3 linked regions of the Elephas maximus indicus genome follow. The protein of the gene in region 3 binds, or shares a complex with, the protein of the main gene of each other region. Links are inferred from orthologs where the notes say so. Each region holds a gene or a part of one and is shown on either strand. Other genes may lie near its edges. The genes, in order: MED23, MED24 and MED13L.

The links.
Region 1: MED13L (region 3) and MED23 share a complex: the UniProt entries of both Homo sapiens proteins name them as parts of the mediator complex. The link is inferred for Elephas maximus indicus from reciprocal best matches to the Homo sapiens genes MED13L and MED23.
Region 2: MED13L (region 3) and MED24 share a complex: the UniProt entries of both Homo sapiens proteins name them as parts of the mediator complex. The link is inferred for Elephas maximus indicus from reciprocal best matches to the Homo sapiens genes MED13L and MED24.

What each region holds. Positions count from the first base shown.
Region 1 is NC_064819.1:200,455,536-200,462,856, forward strand, and holds the start of MED23 (mediator of RNA polymerase II transcription subunit 23), read right to left. Parts: upstream 3,015-7,321; 5' UTR 2,836-3,014; coding exon 2,788-2,835; intron 2,472-2,787; coding exon 2,440-2,471; intron 2,280-2,439; coding exon 2,192-2,279; intron 1-2,191. UniProt on the Homo sapiens protein: Required for transcriptional activation subsequent to the assembly of the pre-initiation complex. Component of the Mediator complex, a coactivator involved in the regulated transcription of nearly all RNA polymerase II-dependent genes.
Region 2 is NC_064837.1:47,307,335-47,315,161, reverse strand, and holds the start of MED24 (mediator of RNA polymerase II transcription subunit 24), read left to right. Parts: upstream 1-4,793; 5' UTR 4,794-5,367; coding exon 5,368-5,620; intron 5,621-5,749; coding exon of another isoform or gene 5,750-5,802; exon of another isoform or gene 5,803-6,102; intron 6,103-7,827. Other genes in the region: THRA (thyroid hormone receptor alpha), read right to left, coding at 265-412, 2,480-2,580, 3,210-3,277, 5,750-5,802. UniProt on the Homo sapiens protein: Component of the Mediator complex, a coactivator involved in the regulated transcription of nearly all RNA polymerase II-dependent genes.
Region 3 is NC_064840.1:14,031,057-14,038,826, forward strand, and holds the start of MED13L (mediator of RNA polymerase II transcription subunit 13-like), read right to left. Parts: upstream 3,015-7,770; 5' UTR 2,923-3,014; coding exon 2,851-2,922; intron 1-2,850. UniProt on the Homo sapiens protein: Component of the Mediator complex, a coactivator involved in the regulated transcription of nearly all RNA polymerase II-dependent genes.

The sequences.
Region 1 (7,321 bases), on a different chromosome or scaffold from region 3:
CCAGCCTCTGTCAGACCCGTAAGTCTGGTCTTTTTTTTGTGAATTTGATTTTTGTTCTACATTTTTTTCCCGCACTGCCTAGAACCCTCTATTGTGATCCCTGTCAGAGAGATCAGAGGTGGTAGCCTGGCACCATCTAGTTGTGCTGGACTTAGTCTGGTGGAGGCTGTGGTAGTTGGATATATCAGTCCTTTAGACTAATCTTTACCTTGTATCTTTGGTTTTCTTCATTCTCCCCTGCTCCAGATGGGGTGGAACCAGCGGAGTATCTTAGACGGCTGCTCACAAGTTTTCACAATCCTAGATGCTACTCACCAAAGCAGGATGTAGAACATTTTCTTTATAAACTATATAACGCCGGTTGAGCCAGATATCCCCCAAGACTGTGGTCCCCAGCTCGTGGCCCCACAGTTCAGTCCCTCAAGGAGTTTGCATTTGTCTGTGAAGCTTCTGTGACCTTGTCTTGATCAAGTTGTGCTGTACATTGTCCAAATAGTTTTAATAACTGCTGAAGGCAGTTATTATTAACTGCACTTCAGGGCTTCAAAATGGTTCATTCTGGTTTAAACCCCTTCTGTGAATTTGTTATTTCCACTCCAGATATACTGAATAAGAACTTACGTTCTTAACAAGATTCCCAGTGATTCTTACATATGATACATTTTAAGAATTACTGCTCTACTAGTGGTTCTCAGAATTTGTCTCTACTGAATTGCTGGGCTGAGGGCTCTCGTGCATTGCTAAACTTGTTGCTGTCAAGTCCACTCCAACTCATACTGACCCTATAGGATAGAGTAGAACTGCCCCATAGGGTTTCCAAGGCTGTAATCTTCACAGAAGCAGAGTGCCACATCTTTCTACCTCAGAGTGGCTGGTAAGTTCGAACTGCCAGGCCTTCTAGTTAGCAGCCGAGCACTTAACCACTGCATCATCAGGGCTCCTCAGACATTGTTAACCAGGTAGAAACTGGTATTTGGCAATTTCCATAAAAATTATAAACAGACATAACCTTTAAGCCAGCAATACCACTTCCAGAAATTTATCCTATGTCCTGTGCATACTATCATTCATTCTAGCATTGTTTAAAGTGGAAAAAGAAAGAAGCAACCTAAATGTCAGTCTGTAGGAGACCAGTTAAATAAAGGTGCAGACATACAATGGAATATTAAGCCTTGGCAAAAAGAGAATTTACTGTCATTATTAAAAGTTATTTGTTAATAACAATGAATATTATTAAATATCTATTAATAATAAACATTAATTTATCATTAAAGGGGGAAGCCAAGCTGGTAATTAGCAGTGTGCACAGTATATGACCACCCTATAAAATGATTCTATATTCATAAATTATTAAACTGGGGACAATGACTGCAGACAGGAAAAAGAACAGGGGATCAATCTAAAAGAGATGCGAAGAAACTATTCTTTGGATCTACTCCTTTGTATTTTGAACCACATGCTTGTATTATCTATAAGAAGACAATTAAAACAAACAAAAAGTTAATGTACGGCCACTGCGTGATCTATGTCTGAGTGGCATGTTTTACCAGCAGCAGCTCAACTGCAAACAGTTCTCATCTCCCTACCTGTAATGCACTACTCCAACATGACCTCTTTAAGTATCAAACATTTTGTCTTTTTCATGGATACATTTTCTGGTGATTGTTAACTAAGTTTTACTGCTCTTCTGCCCATTTTTTATTATACTATGCATGTATCCCTATTATAATTTCTTTGTATCTATATTGTGGTATCTTTGTATCTTTACTATAGGATTATTGTATCTTCATGATAGTCTTTGTTTCAATACTGTGCCAGTTCCTCTTATCCATAAATGAGTGAAAGTTATATTCTTTACAATGCCTAACACAGCTGTTTGCAAGTCACCAAATAAATCAGAATAGGATGAAAACGTCTTACATAATCTAACATAGGAACTTTTTAAAAAGCATCATAAAGACATCCCACACTGTGCTATCATCATGACTTCTCAATACAGATTTCCACTGGGAAGTACACAAATTAAAACAAATGGAAACCAAAAGAGACAAATAAGAGAAAAAATATAACGATTTGATCTCTCCTTTTCCAGAAAAAAACTTAACAATACCATCAAAGTAAATGTAAAAAATAAAACGGGGGAGGGAACCCCCAAATCATCAGCTGAATATATTAAAAATGCAGTGCTCACCTGAGAAAGACCAGCCCAAAACTGTCTGAAGGCCCCCAAACAGCTTATAAGTTTTGTTTTTTCATCTTCAGGGGTATCCATAAACATGCTAAACAAACAAAAAACCCAAAATTATATTATTTGCCACTAGCTTTAAAAAGTCAATCCATCATAACTAGAACAGTCGATTTTACAGAACCCAAGAAAAACCTGTCTTACAAAGACACCCTCACGTAAAAACATAAAAATCTGCCATGCATTATACTCACCCAGGGAACGCCTCTTCTATAATTTCCGTTTTCTGTAAAACAATTAAAAAAAAAAAAGACACACGTAAACAAATAAAAAACGGAGGGGGGTGGTACCCCTAACGACACAGTACAAGCATCTCAATGGGCAACGTGCAGAAACTACCGGCACCCGCCGCCTGTCACCAGAGAGCTGGGGATTTCAAAGGCGACCCTGAGCGTGACACCAGCCTGAGAACCACCAACGCCTGCACACTCACACCGCGTCGCAACGAGGACGGAGGAGGCGGCTGCCCAGGCCGACCTAATTGATCCGCTGCCCCCGCCTCTCCCGCTGCATCGCCCGGGACCCCGACTAGTTCCACTCACCACCACCTCCTCAAAAATGCTCTGCAGTTGTGTCTCCATCTGCACCATCGCCCCACCTTCCTGTGGGTCCCAGCGCGGCCGGGGTCTGGCCCGAGCCTCGGGAACGGAGGGCCAAAGGGGCGGAGACGCCCGGAAAAAACCGCGGCTCTCACCCGCGTCACTTTCCTCTCCAAGCACCGAGCCGGAAACGTCTTCTCCAGGGCCCCGCACACAACTGGAGGCTGCACGGAAGCCCGGAGAGGTGGGTACGCGCCGATTACAGAACCCCCCCCAAACCAGGAGGCCCGCCAGATAGTTCCGCTTGTGCAGAAGGGCTGCTCGCGAGCGCGCCCTCAAGCGGATACTCAAGCCCAAGACACCCAGAAGCGTTGTCGGCTGCAGGCCGCCACCCTCTGGCTGGAATAGGAGTTGCTTCCTAAAACTCTTAGACTGGGGAGAAGGTATAGAGCCTAGGGGCTGCAGCCTGCAGAAAACAACTTCTGCCACGGCCTGGACCAACCAGCTTTCTGTGAGCACCTGGCCTTCTGGTGCAGCCTAGAGCCCTGAGGTGAAACAACACTTCTCTTCACAGGTACCATGACTTTTTAAGTATGGTGACCGAGGTGGCCTAGCAGAGTGCCAGACAAAAAGGACATATGAATGCATCACTACTGAATTTTAATTCGAACCATCAAAGAATAAAATCTACCTTTTTAGGTATAGTCATCTAATAATAAAAATATTTACCATTTTTTAAGTACTAATAACACTATACCAGAAAGAATTGGTTGACTTTAAACGATATCGGGAGGTAGCATATAATCAGGAACCTATGGTATGAAGGAAGAGATCCAAGTTGCACTGAAGGCATTGGTGAAAAACAAGCCTCCAGGAATGGACAGAATACCAACTGAGATGTTTCAACAAATGGATGGAGAACTGGAAGTGCTCACTTGTCTAAGCCAAGAAATTTGGAAGACCGCTACCTGGCCAACTTACTGGGAGAGATCCATATTTATGCCGATTTCAAAGAAAGATGATCCAACAGAATGCAGAAATTATCAAACAACAGCGTTAATTTCACCCGTAAAAAACCCATTGCTGTCGAGTTGATTCTGAGTCATAGCAACCCTATAGTACAGATTAGAGCTGCCCCAGAGACTTTCCAAGGAGCACCTGGTGGATTCGAAATGCCAACCTTTTGGTTAGCAGCCAAACTCAACTACTACACCACCAGGGTTTCCATTTATCATACAAGTAAAATTTTGCTGAAGAGCATTCAAAAGTGGCTGAAGCAGCACATCCACAGGAAACTGCCAGGGAATTCAAGACAGATTCAGAAGAGGACATGGAACTAAGGATATCATTGCTGACGTCAGGCAGATCATGACTGAAAGTAGAGAATATCAGAAAGATATTTACTTGTGTTTTATTGACTATGCAAAGGCATTCGACTGTATGGATTGTAACAAATTATGGAGAACATTGCAAAGAATGGGAGCTCCAGAGCACTTAATTGTGCTCATGTAGAACCTGTACATACACCCAGAGGCAGTAGTTTGAACAAAACAAGGGGATACCGAATGGTTTAAAAGTCAGGAAAGGTGAGTGTCAGAGTTATATCTTTTCTCCATACTTAGTCGACCTGTAAACTGAGCAAATAATCTGAGAACCTGGACTATATGAAGAAGAAAGGGGCATCAGAATTGGAGGAAGACTCATTAACAATCTGCATTACACAGATGACACAACCGTGTTTGCTGAAAGTAAAGAGGACTTAAAGCCCTTACTGATGAAGATCAAAGACCACAGCGTTTAGTATGGATTACACCTCAACATAAAGAAAACTGAAATTCTGACAATAGGACTGTCATGGATTAAATTGTGTCCCCCCAAAATATGTGCCAACTTGGTTAGGCCATGATTCCCAGTATTGTGTGGTTGTCTTCCATTTTGTGATTGTAATTTTATGTTAAAGAGGGTTAGGGTGGGATTGCAACACCCTTACCCAAGTCACATCCCTGATCCAATGTAAAGGGAGTTTCCCTGGGGTGTGGCCTGCACCACCTTTTATTTCTCAAGAGACAAAAAGGAAAGGGAAGCGAGCAGGGGCGGGGGACCTCACATCACCAAGAAAGCAGTGCCGGGAGCAGAGCACATCCTTTGGACCTGGGGTCCCTGCTCGGAGAAGGTCCTTGTCTGGGGCAAGATTGATGAGAAGGCCAACGGAGAGACAAAGCCGTCGCCTGGAGCTGAAGCCCTGAATTTGGACTTTTAGCCTACTTTACTGTGAAGAAATAAATTTCTTTTTGTAAAAGCCATCCACTTGTGGTATATCTCTTATAACAGTACTAGATAACTAAGACAAGGACTAATAAGCAACATCATGATAAATGGAGAACATATTCAAGTTGCCAAGGATTTCATTTTACTTGGATCCACAATCAACACCTATGGAAGCATCAGTCAAGAAATCACACGATACATTGCATTGGGCAAACCTGGGCAAAAGACCTCTTTAAAGCGTTAAAAAGCAAAGATGTCACCTTGAAGACTAAAGTCCACCTGACCCAAGCCATGGTGTTTTTAATTGCCTCATATGCATGCAAAAGTTGGACAATACATAAGGAAGACCAAAGAAGAATTGACACCTCTGAATTATGGTGTTGGCAAAGAAAATTGAATATATCATGGGCTGCCAAAAGAATGAACAAATCTGTCTTAGAAGAAGTACAGCCAGAATGCTCCTTAAAAGCCAGGATGGCGAGATTATGTCTCACATACTGTCTTAGTTATATAATGCTGCTATAACAGAAATACCACAAGTGGATGGCTTTAACAAAGAGAAATTTATTCTCTCACAGTCTATGAGGCTAGTAGACCAAATTCAGGGTGCTACCTCCAGAGGAAGGCTTTCTGTCTCTGTCAGCTCTGGAGGAAGGTCCTTGTCATCAGTCTTCTCCTGGTCCAGGAGCTTCTTTGCACAGGAACCACTGGTCCAAAGAATGCACTCTGCCTCCGATGCTGCGTTCTTGGTGATACAAGGTTCCCCTCTCTGCTCACTTCCCTCTCCTTTTATTTCTTGTAAGATAAAAGGTGGTGCAGTCCACATCCCAGGGAATCTCAACTTACATTGCATCAGGGATGTGACCTGAGCAAGGGTGTTATATCCTACCCTAATCCTCCTTAACATAATCTAATCTTGCCTCATTAACCACAGGCAGAGATTAGGATCTGCAACACATAGGAAAGTCACATCAGATGACAAAATGATGGACAATCACACAATACTGGGAATCATGGCCTAGCCAAATTGATACACATATTTTTGGGGGACACAATTCAATCCATGGCACATACTTTGGACATGTTATCAGGAGGGATCAGTCCCTGAAGGACAGCATGCTTAGTAAAGTAGAGGGTAAGCAAAGAAGAGGAAGATCCTCGATGAGATGGATTGACAGTGGCTGCCAACAATGGGCTCAAGCATAAGAACCATTGTGAGAATGGTGTAGGACTGGGCTAAAAACTGCTAAGTCACTGTGATTCTACATTTCAAATTGTCTTTCTTAGTAATCTTTGGCACAGGTTTCAGTAAGGGCAGTCAGGAGGATCCTCACTGGTCTAACAAATCTTACTATTCACTAAATGTTAATAGAAAAAGATAAGAGTGGAAAGTGTTTTTGTGCTCTGTTTTATGAGGTTATTTGAAAAGTTCTCTACAAGATGTTTTCCAAGATTGTCCTCAGTGTTGTCTTTATACCTCAGGGCCCAATTGATTGTGGACCCTCATGAATCCAGCTCCAGTTGGGTCATATTCTTATGCGTAAAGACAGGGAATAATGGCATAGATATAGATATAGATATAGATATAGATATAGATATAGATATAGATATAGATATAGATATAGATATAGATATAGATATAGATATAGATATAGATATAGATATAGATATAGATATAGATATAGATATAGATATAGATATAGATATAGATATAGATATAGATATAGATATAGATATAGATATAGATATAGATATAGATATAGATATAGATAGATATAGATGGATGTATTTTATTGTCCTTTAAGTGAAAGTTTACAGTTCAGGTTAGTTTCTCAAGCAAAAATTTATACACGCATTGTTATATGACCCTAGTTGCTCTCCGTATAATGTGACAGCACACTCCTCCCTTCAACCTCGGATTTCCTGTGTCCATTCAACCAGCTCCCATCCCCTTCTGCCTTCTCATCTCCCCTCTGGACAGTAGCTGCCCATTTAGTCTCATGTAATACTTGAGCTAAGAAGCACTCTCTTCACGAGCATCATTTTATGTCTTATAATAGTCAGGTCTAATCTTTGTCTGAAGAGTTGGTTTCAGGAATGGTTTCAGTTTGGGGCTAACAGTCTGGGGGCCGTGTCTTCTGGGGTCCCTCCAGACTCAGTCAGGCCATTAAGTCTGGTGTTTTTACTAGAATTTGAGTTCTGCACCCTACTTTCCTCCTGCTCCATCAGGGACTCTCTGTTGTGTTCCCTGTCAGGGCAGTCATTGGTG
Region 2 (7,827 bases), on a different chromosome or scaffold from region 3:
TCCAACAACTGCTTCTCTAAGGTGCTAAGTGGTGAAAGGCAGGTGGACACTGGGGCCCATGCTCAGGTCTCATAGAGAAATCCTCCTGCCTCTTCCCCAGGGTGAGGGCAGCAGGGACCAAGACTCTGGACACTCTACCATCAGCTGGCCTGGACTAGAACTCTGCCTTATGGGCCCTAAGGGTACCCTGGAAGGGAGCTGCCATCCCTCACCCACCCCAACCCCCAGGCACCTGCCCCAACTCCCTCCCCTCAAGCCCCTTACAGTCCATGGCCATGCCCACAGCGATGCACTTCTTGAAGCGGCACAGCTGGCACTGATTGCGGGTGATCTTGTCAATGACACAGCAGCTGTCATACTTGCAGGAGTAGGTGGGATGGAGGTTCTTCTGGATTGTGCGGCGAAAGAAGCCCTGGAGCAGGGGAAGACGAGCATGTTGTGATCCTAACCTCCCCTTCCTGAATCAACCATACAGTTCACAGGGGATGGCAGGGGGCGAGATTAGTGAGGGGACCTGGGGTCCTCTTGACACAGCTAGCCCAGGATCACTGGGCTCTGCCAGGGCAAGGGACCTTAGAAACGAGTGCCCTCGCCCCAAGCACCTGGGCAGTGGTGATGGCAGGGCCAAGAATGATGACTGCAGTAGGGAGACTCGGATCTGGGGATAGTGTGTGGTGCCAGGAGGTCTGAAGGAATAGGAGCTTAGGAAGTCCAATTAATACTTTACTTTCCAACTTGCTAAATGACCCTAAAAACAACAGTGACCACAAAATCATTTTCCTGTATGTTGTCAGTTTCCCATGTAGGCGGAATTCGTGAAATAGAGAGACCAAAAAAATTAAGAAAAGACATTTCGGTACATGCTCTAGTAGCTTTAAAAGAAAAATTTCACCAATTATATATACCAGGTTTAGCCCTTTCTTCAAAGGAAAACCCTCAAGAACCAAGATGGTAGTAGTAATGCAAATAGCCAATATTTACTGAATGCTTACTATGTGTCAAGCACTGTAAGCATTTTTATGTGACATGCCATTTAACTATGACGTAGAACTCTTATTGTTCCATTTATAGGCTGGAGACTTAGTGGTGCAGTGCTTAAGCTTGGCTGCTAACTGAAAGGTCAGTGGTTCAAACCCACCAGCCACTCCATGGGAGAAAGATATGGCAGTCTGCTTCCATAAAGATTACAGCTTTGGAAACCCTATGTGGTAGAGTTCTACTCTTTCCTATAGGGCACTATGAGTTAGAATCTATTTGAATTGACTGAACAGCGATGGGCTTGGTTTTTGGTTTCATAGGCTAAGAAACTGAAGCTTAGAGAGATAAAGCAACTTGCCCAATGTCACATGACTAACGGGCAGAAGAGCGAGAGCTGGGCCTCAGATATGGAACAGCAAGGTCTGAGCTCTCAGATTCTGAGATGCACTAAAATCACTTAAGGCAATTACCAAAAATGCAGACTTCTAGGCCCCACTCCAGACCTGCTAAATCAGACTCTCTAGGAGTAGGGCCAAGGCATCTGTCTTTTCAAGATGTTCCCTGGGGATTTAATATCCTTGAGCATGAGGACCCTTGCTCTACACTACACTGCTTGTATTGGTTCCAGGGACACAGCCATGGGACAGTAAATCCTGGTGGTCTTGGTGTAGTTGACACTGAATAATTCTGTTTCCTGGAAGGGCCCACCTTTTCAGGAGGTGGTGATCTGGGAAAAGCCATGCAGGCTGAAATTACCAACAGAAAATCTAATTATGCCTCCCCAAGTCTATGACCTTGTCCGCTCTACACAGGGAGAACCTGCCATCCTCTTCTCCTCTGTGCCCCCACCATGACCCCCAGCAGAGGCTCTCACCTCTTTGGGTATATCAGAAGCAACTGGGGAGCCCATTACAAGGCAGATTCCTGGGCACCACGACAAGAGGCTCTGATTACAGTTGGGATGGGGCCTGGGAATCTGCATTTTATCTAGCATTGTAGGCGGTCCATGAGCCTCATTTTGAAAAACACTGATATTTGTTTCCAGTCTGTCTCTCTCTGACTTGAGGACAGGACATACTCTCCATCCTCACATTTAATACAAGGCCAGGAGCACTGAACGGTTGGGCAATAGTTGGCATTTATTGGGGTGTTTCTTACACGCCTGGCACTGTTTTAAACACTTTATGTGAACTATCCTATTTCATTCTTAACACCTCTATGAGGTAGGCAGAATGATTATTCCAATTTTATAGGTGAAGAAACTGAGGCTCAGAGAGGTTAAGCAAATTACCTGTGAGTGGCAGAGCAGGGATTATGTATGAATGAACAAACAAAAGAATGAATGAATGAATGAGTGCAAAAAGAGAAATGATGGTATTACAGGTGGGCTTGAGGTTACATGTTTATAGAGCTTTTCTATCATGCCAGGTACTGAGGGCCTCAAAGGGAGTGAGATAGGGGCTCAGGCGGTAGGGGAGGGGAGGAGCCGGCTGGTCCATACCTTGCAGCCCTCACAAGTGATGCAGCGGTAGTGATAACCGGTTGCCTTGTCCCCACACACGACACACTGCTCGTCTTTGTCCAGGTAACTAGGGATATACCCTGGGAGGGAGGGAGGGAGGGAGGCAAGCAGGCATGGCTTGGGGTCCCAGCAGATAGGTTCCTGTACTTTCCCCATCCCCCAACTTTTCCTTTCTGGCCATGCCCTCACCCAGCCTCCCTGAAGGGTTGTCTGCAAGGAGAATCCTGGGAACACATCACAGGTCATCATATCTAATCCCTGGCTGACATGAGTTGGAATCAACTTGATGGCAACTGATTTTTTTGTTTTGTTTTTTTAATGAATATGAAGAATCCCAGTCCTTCTGGCTGCCCACTCTGGGCTTTTGCTGCCTTGCTTTCCAAGGGGTAGGGGATGGGGGGGTGGGAGGCAGAAGCAAATATCAGCACTTCTCTCAGGAGAATGCAGTCCCATGGCTCTTCTCTCCAGGCCCTGATTCTGCTGAGGGACTCAGCATGGGGGTTATGGGAGAAGGGAAGAGGCCCTTCCTGACCTAATTCATCCTCAAAGCCTGGTTCATGCGCCACATCAGCCCTCCTACCCCTGGACAAGTCTATCCCAAGCCCTCTGAGAGGATCCCCCCACAGAAGCTGCTGGTGCGTGTCAGACCCCAGGAGAGGCCAGCGCTGGCTGGGGAGCAGGGAGGAAGGGCACACTCAACCAAGCTCACCTGACATGCTGGTTTTCAGGGAACATTGGCCGTTCTTTCTTTTTCGCTTTCCATCTGGTGACCTGGCACTGGATGGGGACAAAGTGGGTGGAATCACAGAGTAGTCCTTGGGAAACCCCTTTCTCATCTGAGAGGCTTATACAACCCCCCAGGCCCAACTCCCTCCATCTGTATCCTCATTCTACCCCCACCCTCAGGTCAGCTGACAAAGCTAAGAAAGGTCCTGCTATCTGGACACTGCAGGGGACAGAGATAAGGGGCTTGGCTGGGGCACAAGCATGTTCTAGGGCCCCAACACACACACACACACACACACACACACACTGCAGAACATTAAGCACTCTGCTGTATAATCTAAAGGACATCCACATACTTCAACCTTCAGTACATGACACAGACGCTGGAGGTGTCCCCAGGACATGCTTAAAGCTACGCAAGCTTTAGAACATGCACACACACATACATGCAACATAACACAAGCACATACAAATAACTATGCAGCCTTCAGTATAAATCCAAGTATGATAAATAGGCACCAGGATCTATCTACATCTATGCAATTTCTAGGGCATTCTCAAATGAGTTATATGACTTCTAGGGTATAGTCATGTGATACACAACCTTCTGGACAGGCACCTAACAATACCACCCCCTCTCCTCCCACTGTGAACATGTTGTTTGATTTTCCAGTCATGCATAGGTACTAAATAATCCACAGTGATTGAAAACATACAGTGCCTAGCTCCCAGCACCTAGAACCAAGAATGAAAGACCAGGAAAGTCCTTCCAGAATCACGCTGTCCATGGCTTCCATTTAACAGAGCAGCAAACCAAAGTCCCACTTGGGCCTGGTGACACCGCATGCTAGAGACAGAGCCAGGACAAGGACCCTGAGCCCCTGCGCTCCAAGTATTAGCAACCCTCCTCCACTGCACATATATGTCACCCTGGTGCTCCATATACATGTTACATAACCCCCCCCAACAGGTTACATAAGCCCTTCTACATGCATGCACGGATTGTATAACCTCCCACACCCACCCTGGCATGTAGCATAGTCAGGACTCCTCCTCCTGGAGCCCAAAACAGCTCCCAACACACTGACACAGTGACCTTGGCCAGGGTCACAATCACAGACAGCCCTGTGCTCCCCACCCCCTGGGGATTACCCCTGTCTGGTTCTGACAAGGCTGGAGGGTCAGGATCTCCTTCTGGTCTACTGGGTGGGGGTGTGTGCGGGAGGAACTCCGGGCCACCTAGGCTCCAGTAGAGCTGGCCTCTTCAGAGATTACCTACCTGGAAGCCTTTGGGTGCAGTCCCAGGGACAGCCACAAGGTGGCGCAGAGACATGGGGGAGGGGACAAAGACGAGAGGGAGGCGGGGGAGGGAGGGGCTGCAACCCTAGGGGGACCGGGAAAGGGCATTCCCGCCTTTCTCCAACCCTTTGGGACAGACTCTCTCAGACCTACAGAAGCCTGGGCAGGGAGGTACAGGAACTACAAGTCGGAGCCGCACTAGGACAGGCCAGATCTTCCTTCTCAGAGTCTCGCCTAGGGTGAGGTTTTGGGGTAGGGGTTCCCTGGGGGGCCCACCAAACTGCAAGCCCCACCCACTTCCTCCACCCCTCCAGGGACCCAGTCTTGGGCCCCAGGGCTTTGCCTGGCCAGGCCTCAGGCCTCCTGGCTCAGGATCTGGTCTCCTAGGCAACAGCCACACTGCTCCCCAGAGCACCCCTCCTCCATCCTCTCTCCGGCCATAGGCACAAGCTGTACCCAGCTTCTGGGGCACTATGCCAACTGGGACAGAACTCTGTGCCACTTGGTGCTGATGGCAGAGACCCTCTGGGCTCCTCAAGGACAATGCAGAGCACAGGTAACCCATCCCTACTTGTGTGTGCTGGGCGGATGCCTCCCCATGTGTGGGGTAAACCTTCACGTGTGGGGTAGTGTGGGGTAAACCTTCACGGTTGGCCTGCGCTTTCCTTCCTGGGAGGAGCTTCATGGTAGCACCCGCCCTTCCCCATAAACAAGGAATAGTTTGTGGGGCTCCCAATAGGTTCCAATACAAACGCGAGCTGTGACCAGTAGTAACTGGTGCATGTGCCCTGAAATGTCATGCTACATGCACCAGGGCCTGTGGACAACACACTTGTGGTCAGATGGTGAATGGGCTGGTAGGGGGAGGAGGAAGGTGGCAAGGCCTTTTGGATACCTCATGCTCAGGTGAGGGCAGCAGTAGCAGAGGAGACACTGGGGGGCATTTGAGACTGTCCAGCATGGTCAAGGGTAGAGCCATATGCTTGCTGCCTGAATACTCTGCTCCGTATCATAGGCGTATGATATGGGCATCTCTGAACCCAGGTGCCTACTTCCCTGCCACATCTAAACGTGACCTCATCTCCTGGGGAAAAGGTAGGTAGGCAGCAGGCTTGCTGGCCTCAAGCCCGTTCCCAAGAGGTGCTTAAAAGGCCTGAGCTCAGTTCTTGTCAGGGAGGCCTTATGCCCAGCCAAGTGACCATGCCCACTGCCTGGGCCTATTACCTGTTCTCCTCTGGGTCTGACCCACACTCCAGCTTGCTTGGCTTCTGTTCCATTCACTTCAATTCCATCCAGGATGCACTCCAGCACGCCAAGAGACTGGGGTGGGCACACAGGCCCCCCCGGCACACCCACAGGCCACCCACCCCCCACCACCCAAGCCCTAGGGCACAGCACCCATGGTGCCTGCCTCAGCACTTGGCCTTCACACCATGCCCTGCGCCCCAAGGGGGGCGGGCAGTGAGAGGGGCCAGGGAGTGGCAGGTGGGAGGGCTAGGGGGTGAGCTGGATTTGTAGGGGTGTCCTGGGCTGGGGTTTGGGGAGTAGGCTCAGTGTCTTGTCCTGTCCTGAAGTCCCTGCAGAGAAAAGAAAGAGAAAGGGTAAGAAGGTTCCATGGTGGGGGGGATTCCTCTGGTGGTAGCAATTTGGGTTCTTGAGGTCCACAACAGGATGATGAAGCACGTGGTGGGCAGGCACAGGTAACCTAGTTATGCTTCCCCAGGGAAGGAACAGGGTAATCTCTTAGATTAGCCAACAAGATTGTAGACTTATATCCTAAACTCCAGAGATGGAGAGGGATGGAGGAAAGGAATGAGGTAATTTGTGTACCGTGTACCACATCTCAATCCTCACATTCTATCAAGTGCCAGGCCCTTAATAAGTATCTATAAACGTCAGCTACTATTACCACCCCTCTAGCTGTTTCCCTAAAACTCATCAGTATTATAGGGGCAAAAGGGGATCAGGGATGAGCAGTTTTCAGCCTAGGCCCTGGGAGAACCAGTAAAGGAAGGGTGGGGTATGAGGACAACGTTCAGGGACCATAGATGCCCATCTTAGTGTCTCAAGGAGAGAGATACTAACAGTGGTGGGGAGCTGACCACACCTGCTGCTGATCAAGTTATGACTCCTCAACCCTGGCCCCCCAGGGACCCCACGGCTTCCCATACAAGGTCCTAGGTCACACTTCCCAGTCTGAGGACCAGACTTCCCAGTCAGTTTAGCTGAGCTGCCACCTACCAGGATGGTGAGGGGAAGGGGAAAGGGAACACGCATTGACTGAGCAGATAATACGTGCCCTCTGAAGTGGGCATCAGAACTTTCCTGATGAGGAAACTGAGTATCAGAAAACTTGATCATTTACTTAAGTTCACATAGCTATAAGCAGGTGGCTCAAGGATTAAACTTAGTGGCCTGGCTCTAATGCTAGCTTTGTTCCACTACCTGGAGTCCAGGGCAGTGCTAGTCTGGGCCCACTATTCCATCTACACAGCACCTCTCAACCCAGGCTGCAGATCTGGGGCTTACTGTGTGTGTACACACAGGCAGGTGTGGGTGTAGGACGGGGACAAAGGGTGCAACTCCCCACACACAACCTCTATCATGTGGCCACTGCACCAGAGATCTCACCCCTGGGCCCCCCCCCAACCCGACCCCCAGGAACTGATAAGGAGCCAGGGTGGGAGGAGAAGGGAGATAAGTCAGGATACTAGGCAGGGCAGGACAACAGGACAGGGCCTCTGCATCCAGGCAAGCCCCCGTGTGGGGAGGAGTGCAGAAGGAAGGCCCATTCTGCCTCTGATACCCCCCCAGGCCAGAACTGGGCACTGGGGGCTGGATAGGAGACTGGGGGAGGGGGGCAAGCGGGGAGCCTTAGCCCAGGGAGCCGTCAAGAAAGTAGGTCAAGTTTTTCTTGGCTTGTGGAGAAATTCCTGTTATAAATTTATAATGGCGTAGCCAGCCCTGAGGGGTGGAGGTGGGTGGGGATGCCCAGGGGCTGGGCACTGGGGCCTGCTGTTCTCAGCCAGCACAGTGAGGGGCAGGGGGCTTGGTAGTCATGGGGGCTGGGCTGGACAAGAGAAGGCTATTTTCTCTCTGTCGCCTAGTCCCACTTCTATCCCTGCCTATCCAGGCCTCATTCGCTGCACAGTCTGTCTCCCTCTGAATGTGTCTCTCTCTCTGGGTCTGGGTGTCTCCCTGTCTCCCCCCAGGCTGTGCCTCGGTGCTTGGCACACCCTGGCTGCGGTGCTGCCCCCGCCTGTCTCCTGCCCGCCTGGCATGCTGCCACCACTTGTTTACAG
Region 3 (7,770 bases):
AAGGCACCCAATTGCACAACCGACTTTTGTTAAACCATAATGAACACTTTAAGGTAAGAGAAAGTGGCAAGGTCATTACTGTGGTACAGAACTTTAACCTCCAGTTTATATTTCAATCCACACTAATACGAGTATCTAGGTAAATTCTCTATAAACAATACTTCTCTCCACTTAAAAAAAAACTACAGGACACAAGGAAAAATATATGCTATTATTTAACATATTAAGAATTCTTCTTACAAGACATGCTTTATTTTGAACAGGTGATGATGACATCTCTTGGCAGTCTCAACTATTCCATATAATGCACCTTAAGCAACATATTTTTAATAGTCTAGGGTGCTACTGTATATGATTTTCAATTAAAATTCTCAATTTGCAACCAGAAAGAGCTATAATAGTCAGCAGCTTTTTAACTGATTCATCATTTAAAAAAAAAAAAAAAGCACCTTACCCACCCTCCCTGTACCAAAGAATGTAGCAATTAAACACTTTATAGTCCTTAAAAAAAAAATCAAGCTATGCATTTCTGCCGTTCTGAATTTGAAAGTTGCTACCTAAAAGTCATTCTTAAAATTAAAAAAAAAAAAAAAGATATATTCAAAAATCTCTTCCTGATTTAAAGAGGCTGAGGGAAGATATACTCAAAGCACAAAACTTGAATTGGTCATAATCAAAGTACAGCATCCTTGCCTACAAAATTGTTTGTCCAGAAGAATCTCAAGCATCTTATCTCTAAGACATTATCACTCTCACTTAGCTTTTAAAAAAAGAAGATAAAAGCAACGATATATCCTAGACACTGCCTATACAGGTAATACATTGCAGTTGTCTAATCTACCGTATATAAATTAGCCACATATACGTATACAAGCCATTACCAGTCAGTATGATATATGGTAATTTGGGGGCTCTCTCCTCACCAATATTGGTCTATTTGGTTATTTTAATTACCTGTAAAAGTGTCAATGCGGTCACCAGCTGCCAAACAAAAAACATTTTAAATACCCCTTAATCAATATGTTTGCTGATCTATGAGTCCCTGAACCTGACTGATACTAAGTGATAGGGGAAAAAGGAAAAGACAAAATGAGCTTTACTCCCATATGTTAAAAGATCACAAGAAAATCATCACAGTACCAAAAGGAAGAATTACTACTTAAAAATGAATTTAAAGATTATATATCTGAATAAGAATGTTTGAAAAAAAAAAATGTAACCTGGTTGTACTATAGTAGAAGCATGGATACTATGTCTCTCAGTCTTTGTAGCTAACAATCTCATGTGTTGACTTTTTTATCTGCATAAATACTGTAACATATTTAATAACACTTTATTTGAAAAGTTGGCAAGAATTTGCATTTCTCCACTAGTCCCTAAGGGGGGGATCTATGCCACCCATAATTAAATGTAACTAATTACAATTTGAACACTAAATTATTTATCCAGTGTAAACAAGGATTAAAAGGAAATGATGCTTCCGTCTACAGTAGAGGTTACAGAAAATAATTTCCAAAATGCATACTCTCCAAAAAGCAATCCCCCCAAAACAGTGTACCCAAGTTAAAATAAGTTGGTTTTTGTTTTTAGACTAAATTAAATAGACCGTTCAGCCAATTTTCCAATTATATTCTACGCTTCAAACATAATTGCCTTACATCTGTTTACAAACCTTTGCTCAATATTTAAACAAATTCCTACTCTCCCGGGCACATAGCTCTCCATACAGTAACTCATGCACAAAGCACATATTTAAAGACCACGCACTGCAATTATTAGCCTAAACGCCAGGTTTAACAACGTGAATGTTTTCAGAGAAGGTAATACGACCCAATAAAAAGCAAAGATGGCATTTACCACCAAATGTCACTGCCACCGCCAGGGAAAGAGTTGCTGGAGTCCTATACATTTTTAATTTCGATGAATCTAGCCGCCGCCGTCGGGTGCCGGGCTTCCAGGAGAACAATTGACACCCTAACTGCTTCAAGATTAAGGCAGGCGATTCAAATCCGAGGGAAAAGTTGTCAATTATCAGAGAGAGAGAGGGAGCCAGGCGAAGGCAGATAAAAGCGATGTTATCAAACCGCCCAGCTTGTTGCTTTTTTGTGTGTGTGTGGATTCGTTGTTAGGATAGAGAAAACAGTTTTTAAAAGACACAGGGGGAGAGAAAAAAGAAAAAGCTTTCTCCACCTTCCGTCGGCTCGGTGCAATGGCTTTCTGGCTCTCCGGCGTTTGAGCCCCGAGAGGCGGGCGGGCGGCTGTCGGTGTTTACAATCGCGGCAGCTCCGGGTGCAAGAGTCCTTTACTGACACAATCGCATTCGATCAACTGTTTTCGGGCGAAATTGCAGGTGTCATTACAGCATTTAAAAAAAAAAAAAAATTCAAAAGGGAGGCGGGCGGACAGCCGATCCGACCGGGGGGACGAGGCTGCTAGCAGCCCACGGCAGGCGCGGGCAGCAGCAGGCAAAGCCTTCCTTCCACATTTGGGGGGAAAGGGGGGCAGACGGGAGGGGGTGTGATTGCAACAGAGGGTGGGCGCTCCGAGTGCGACCCAGAATCCGCAGCTTTGAGACTTCCACATGCCAATTCCACGCCGGGCGCCGCGCTCACAAATGATTTTTAAAGAGCCAAATAAACACTGGATGGGGTCCAAGGCGGAGGAGAGACGATCCAAGGGAGAGCAGCGGCCAGAGGCGACCCGCGGGGAGGGGCGAAGTCCCGGCGGCGGCGGCGGCGGCGGCAGCGGCGGCGGCGGCGGCGGCGGGAGGAGAAAGTTGATCGGCGGCGGGGTCGGCGGCGGGGTCGGCGCCCCCGGCCCAGCCCCCCTCCCCGCAGCCCGGCTACTCACCAGCGAGAAGAGGTTGGAGTGACAATCCTCCAGGCTCGCCCCGTTCGCCACCCAGTTCGCTGCCGCAGTCATGATCCTCCGCGAGCCCGGCCGCCAGAGCGGGGCATGTCGGAGCGAGGCGTCCGAGGCGAGGCCGGGCCGGACGGCGGCGCCTCACCGGGAAGCGCGGGGCGGCCGGGCCGCTGCCGCCGCCGGAGGAGGAGGAGGAGGAGGGCGGGAGGCGCCGCGGCGACGCCGCGCCGGGGGCGGCGGGCCCGGGCCGGCGGGGGGGTCCGCGGCGGCCGCGCGGCTCCTTCCTGCTCGGGCGGCGGCGGCGGCGGCGGCTGAGGCGGCAGCGGGGGGCGCTGTCCGCGCGGCCCGGCGCCCTCCCCGCCTCTCAGGGCCGCCGCTGGCTCCCGGGCCGGCGCTGCGGGCCGGCCGCCGCCTCCGCCTTCCCTGCTCCTCGGCCGCCGCCGCCGCCTTGTTTATCTCCAGCCACCGACTCCCCCTCAGCCCCCGCCGGCGCGTGAGGGGAGGCGAGCCCCGGAGCCGCCGCCGCCGCCGCCGCCGCCTCGGAGCCGCCGCCGCCGCGGAGCGCGAACTCGCGAAGGGGGGGGTGCGGACGAAGCCAGCGGGCGACCCCGGCAGCCGAGCGACGTCCCCTCCTTCCTCTTCCTCCCCCACCCCCCCCCTCCTCCCCAGTAAGCCTCGCTTCTCCTCCCTCCCCGGGCTCGCTCGCTCTGACAGCAATGGCGGCCGCCGACCGCGGCTCGGCCCGCCATTGGCTGGCGCCGTGTCACGTGACGGGCGCCGGCCGCGCGGGGGGGCGCGGGCGGGCGGGGGAGGGGCCGGGAGCGGCGGCGGCGGCGGCGGTGGCGGCTCGCGGGAGGCGCTGCTGAGCCGAGCGCGGCCGGCTTCTCGGGCCGGGAAGAGGGGCAGAGACGCGGAGGGAGAGAAAGAAGTGCGGTCGGCCCGACCCTCCGGAGGGCGGTGGGCTACCGGGCCCAGTGCTCTGTGGGCGCCCCGCCCCCTCGCGGGGCCCGGACCCTTGCGGAGCGCCCGGGCGGCTGAGGGGCGCGACCGCGGGCCTCGGGAACGCTCGCGGCGGCCGCGGTAGAGGGCGCGAGCCCCTCGCTGCTGCCCCCGGGCTGGCTGCGTGGCCGAGGCTCGCTGCGGGTCAGACAGCAGGTCCATCAAGTGCCCCGGGGAGCGTCGCATCGCAGCCTCGCTCCTCGGGAGGTGGGTCCTGCGCTCTCGTCTGCGTTTCACAGACGAGCAAACTGAAGCACAAAGAGATTAAGTCACTTGCGCGAGCCAGCGCTGCTGCGAAGAAGAGGTGTCAAGATTCGAACACATGCACCCACGGACACTGAAGTCAGGCTCTTGCACTATGCTTCTCCGCACGCCTCGCAGGGAATAGTCTCAAAAAAAAAAAAAAAAAAGAAAAAAGCCAAACCCACTGCCGTCGAGTCGATTCCGACTCATAGCGACCCTATAGGACAGAGTAGAACTGCCCCATAGGGTTTCCAAGGTTGTAAATCTTTACCGAAGCAGACTGCCACATCTTTCTCTTGAGCAGCAGCCGATGGGTTCAAACTCACCCAACTTTTCAGTTAGCAGCGGAGCACTTAACCACTGTGCCACCAGGGCTCCTTCATCTGTCAAAAAGGGATCCTGATTATTGACAAACCCCCCCCCCCCCCATCTAAGGCCAATGTTGTGAATTTCTAAGGAGCTCTGACAGTGCAATGGTTAAGTGCTTGGCTGCTCTGAAAGGTAGGGGGTTCGAACCCACCAGTGACTCTGCTGGGGGTGGGGGAGACCTGGCAATCTGCCCTGGGAAATATTACAGCCTTGGAAACCCTATGGGGCAGTTCAGCTCTGTCCTATAGGATTACTGAGTCAGAATCAACTTGAGAACAATAGGTTTGGTTTGATTATTAAGATACCATTTATTAAAGTGTTTTGAAAAAAATCAAAAGGACTTTTATCTACACGCATAGTGTTGCTTAGCCTGAGTAGAAAGGCAGTGTACCGGTCCATCAGATTCAGATGCCCAAATTTCATGTATTTACATCTCAGGTGGGCTTCATCCCACACGCCTAGTAACCAAACACGTTCTTCAGCAAGTTTAGGACCAAAAAAAAAGAAAAAAAAAAAACTTTCCAGAACAAAATCTAATAGAAAAATTAGCAGAGGACATGGAGTTTGCAGAATGGGAAATACATATGCTTTTGAAATATTTAAAAAGATGCTCTGCTTCATTCATCACAAGAAAAACAGAATTAAAACCATAATAAGTAATGACGATATTTTAGAAGTTTAGGCAAACCTAGAGGGAGGCAGGGGTCTCACACGTTGTCGCCGGGAATACAAATTGGCTATGGAGCTTTCAGCATCAATTTGGTGAATATCAAAATAGAAAAATGAACAGACCCCTCTGACCTGGCAATTCTGCCTCTAGGAGCGTACTTGTACAGATACACAAAGACGCGTCGTGCAAGGACATGAACTATAGGATTGTCTGTACAGCAAAAACTGGAAAACACTTACATGTTCATCATTTGAGGAGTACTTTATATAATTTGGAGCCCTGGTGGCGCAGTGGTTAAGAGTTACAGCTGCTAACCAAAAGGTCGGCAGTTCAAATCCACCAGCTACTCCTTGGAAACCCTATGGGGCAGTTCTGCTCTGTCCTATAGAGTCACTGTTTCGGGAATAGACTTGGCGGCAGTGGGTTTGGTTTCTTTTTTTTTTTTTTTTTTTCTTTTCCGTTAATATAATTTAATCCTTTGCAGTCACTAAATATAATGTGTTAGCGATCGATACATGTACTTATGAAGAATAATCTCCTTAGGGGAGGGACACTGGGCTTCTGTTAAGGGTCATAGTTGAACAACATGATGTTGTTGTTAGGTGTCATCAAGTCAATTTTCGGCTCATAGCAACTCTATGTGACAGGGTAGAACTGCCCCATAGAGTTTTCTAGGCTGTAATCTTTACAGGAGCAGATCTCTAGGTGTTTCTTCTGTGGAGCCATTGGATGGGTTCGAACCACCAACCTTCCAGTTAGCAGCCGAGCACTTAACTTGTGCTACTAGAGCTCCTTGAGCAACATGATAAACATAGGTAGTGTCATTGGGCTACGGGGGTAGATTGTTAAAATGTCACCTGTTTTGTTACATAAACTTTTACCACAATAAAAGAAAGAATAATCTCAAAAATATATTATCAACAGAGATCTCTCTAGAAGATTACTCCAAACACTAGTAATATCAATTGTCCCTAGGTAGGGAGATTAGAGGAATGGGAGCCAGGGTGAGAAGAATTACTTTGCACTATATAGTTTTGTTTTGTTTTTTAACCAAATGCATAAATACCTACTCGAGCGGCAAGTTATAAACAACGACAGTAAATAAATAAAATCGAAAACAGAATAACCAAGTAATGGCACCATAAAAGTAAATAAAACCCCAAACAAACCAGATAATGAAAATAAAACTGGTCCGAGGAGATTTCCTTGGCCGTCAAAGCCAAGGACCCGACGTGGAAAAGAAAAAGCCAGGAGGGCTGAGTTGACGCTGAGTGTGATTAGCCTGGCAACATGAGTACAGAAAGAGAACCTGGGGGAACCAGGTTCTAGTCCCCAGGTGTACCACTGAAAAGCTGTGTGACCTGGGACAAGCCACCTGACCTCTCTGGGCCTCACTTGCCTCATGTGTAAAAAAGGGCGACCTGGGTGGTCCTTATGGTCATAATCCAGCCATGAAATTCTTTAATTCTCTGTACAGTTGAGATTACTGATAAAGATCCACAGGGCTCTTAACTCAATGGGAGTTGGTGGAGGGCCTCAGGAGATATGATTGAAATAAAACAAAAAACCAGCAACTGACTAGTACGAAGTGTGGAGGCAGTGAACCAGCCGCGCGGGCTCCTGGGACAAGTCCCCTATGTCAGAGGCACCTCTTAAGCAGGACTCGGTTTCCCCATTTATGAGAGTGCCTGTGGCCCAGGCAGGAAACAGAAGTTCCACTTTGCACAGGTCTCAGGTCTTATTCTGAGAATGACAGGTTAGTTCCTTTTCATGGTTACCAAACCTAAGGGCAGAGAGAAAATGGAAGCAAAAATACTATCAGAGGAGGAACTATCTACTGTGTTAGGAAGACTGCTGGAGACCTATGCAGCCGCAGGTTGGGAGCATTTTGTAGGAGTTAAGAATGTTGGCTTCTCCAACTCTTCAAAGATTAGACTGGACTATAAAATGTAAAATAACACTTGTGAAGAGTGTGCTTCTTAGTTCAAGTAAGTACATGAGACTAAATAGGCAGCTCCTGTCTGGAGGCATGATAAGAAGGCAGAAAGGGACAGGAGCTGCTTAAATGGACGTGGGAAACGTGGAGTGGAAAGGGGGAGCGTGCTGTCACAATATAGGGATTGCAATTAGGGTCACATAACAACATGTGTATACATTTTTGTATGAAAAACTAACTTGAGACTTGAGCTGTAAACTTTCACCTCAAGCACAATTTAAAAGAAAAAAAGAATGTCAGTTTCTAAGACATACCTGGGTTCCAATCCCTGCGCTCAGGTATACTAGTTGCATGGCCTTGAGCAGGTCATTTCTTCTTCTGAGACCCCATTTCTTCCTCTGCAGTGGCCTCCCAGAGTGATGACTCAGGGAAGGTCCTGAGCTCAGTGCCTGCCCCCCACCGGGCAGTGATCCATAAATTACAACAATTGCAGTCATTTGTCCATCCTTGTACAAGGGAAAGCATCACCCAATCATAACACTTGAGGGTTTTTTTTTTCTTTTAATCTAAACTTTATTGGATTTATTTCCTTTCGAATTAAAACAGAATAAAATGCTAGCTGTAACATGTCAAAAAATACAGAAGTATGCTAAGAAAAAGGAAATACTCTTCCCTCTACCCCCCAAGCTAA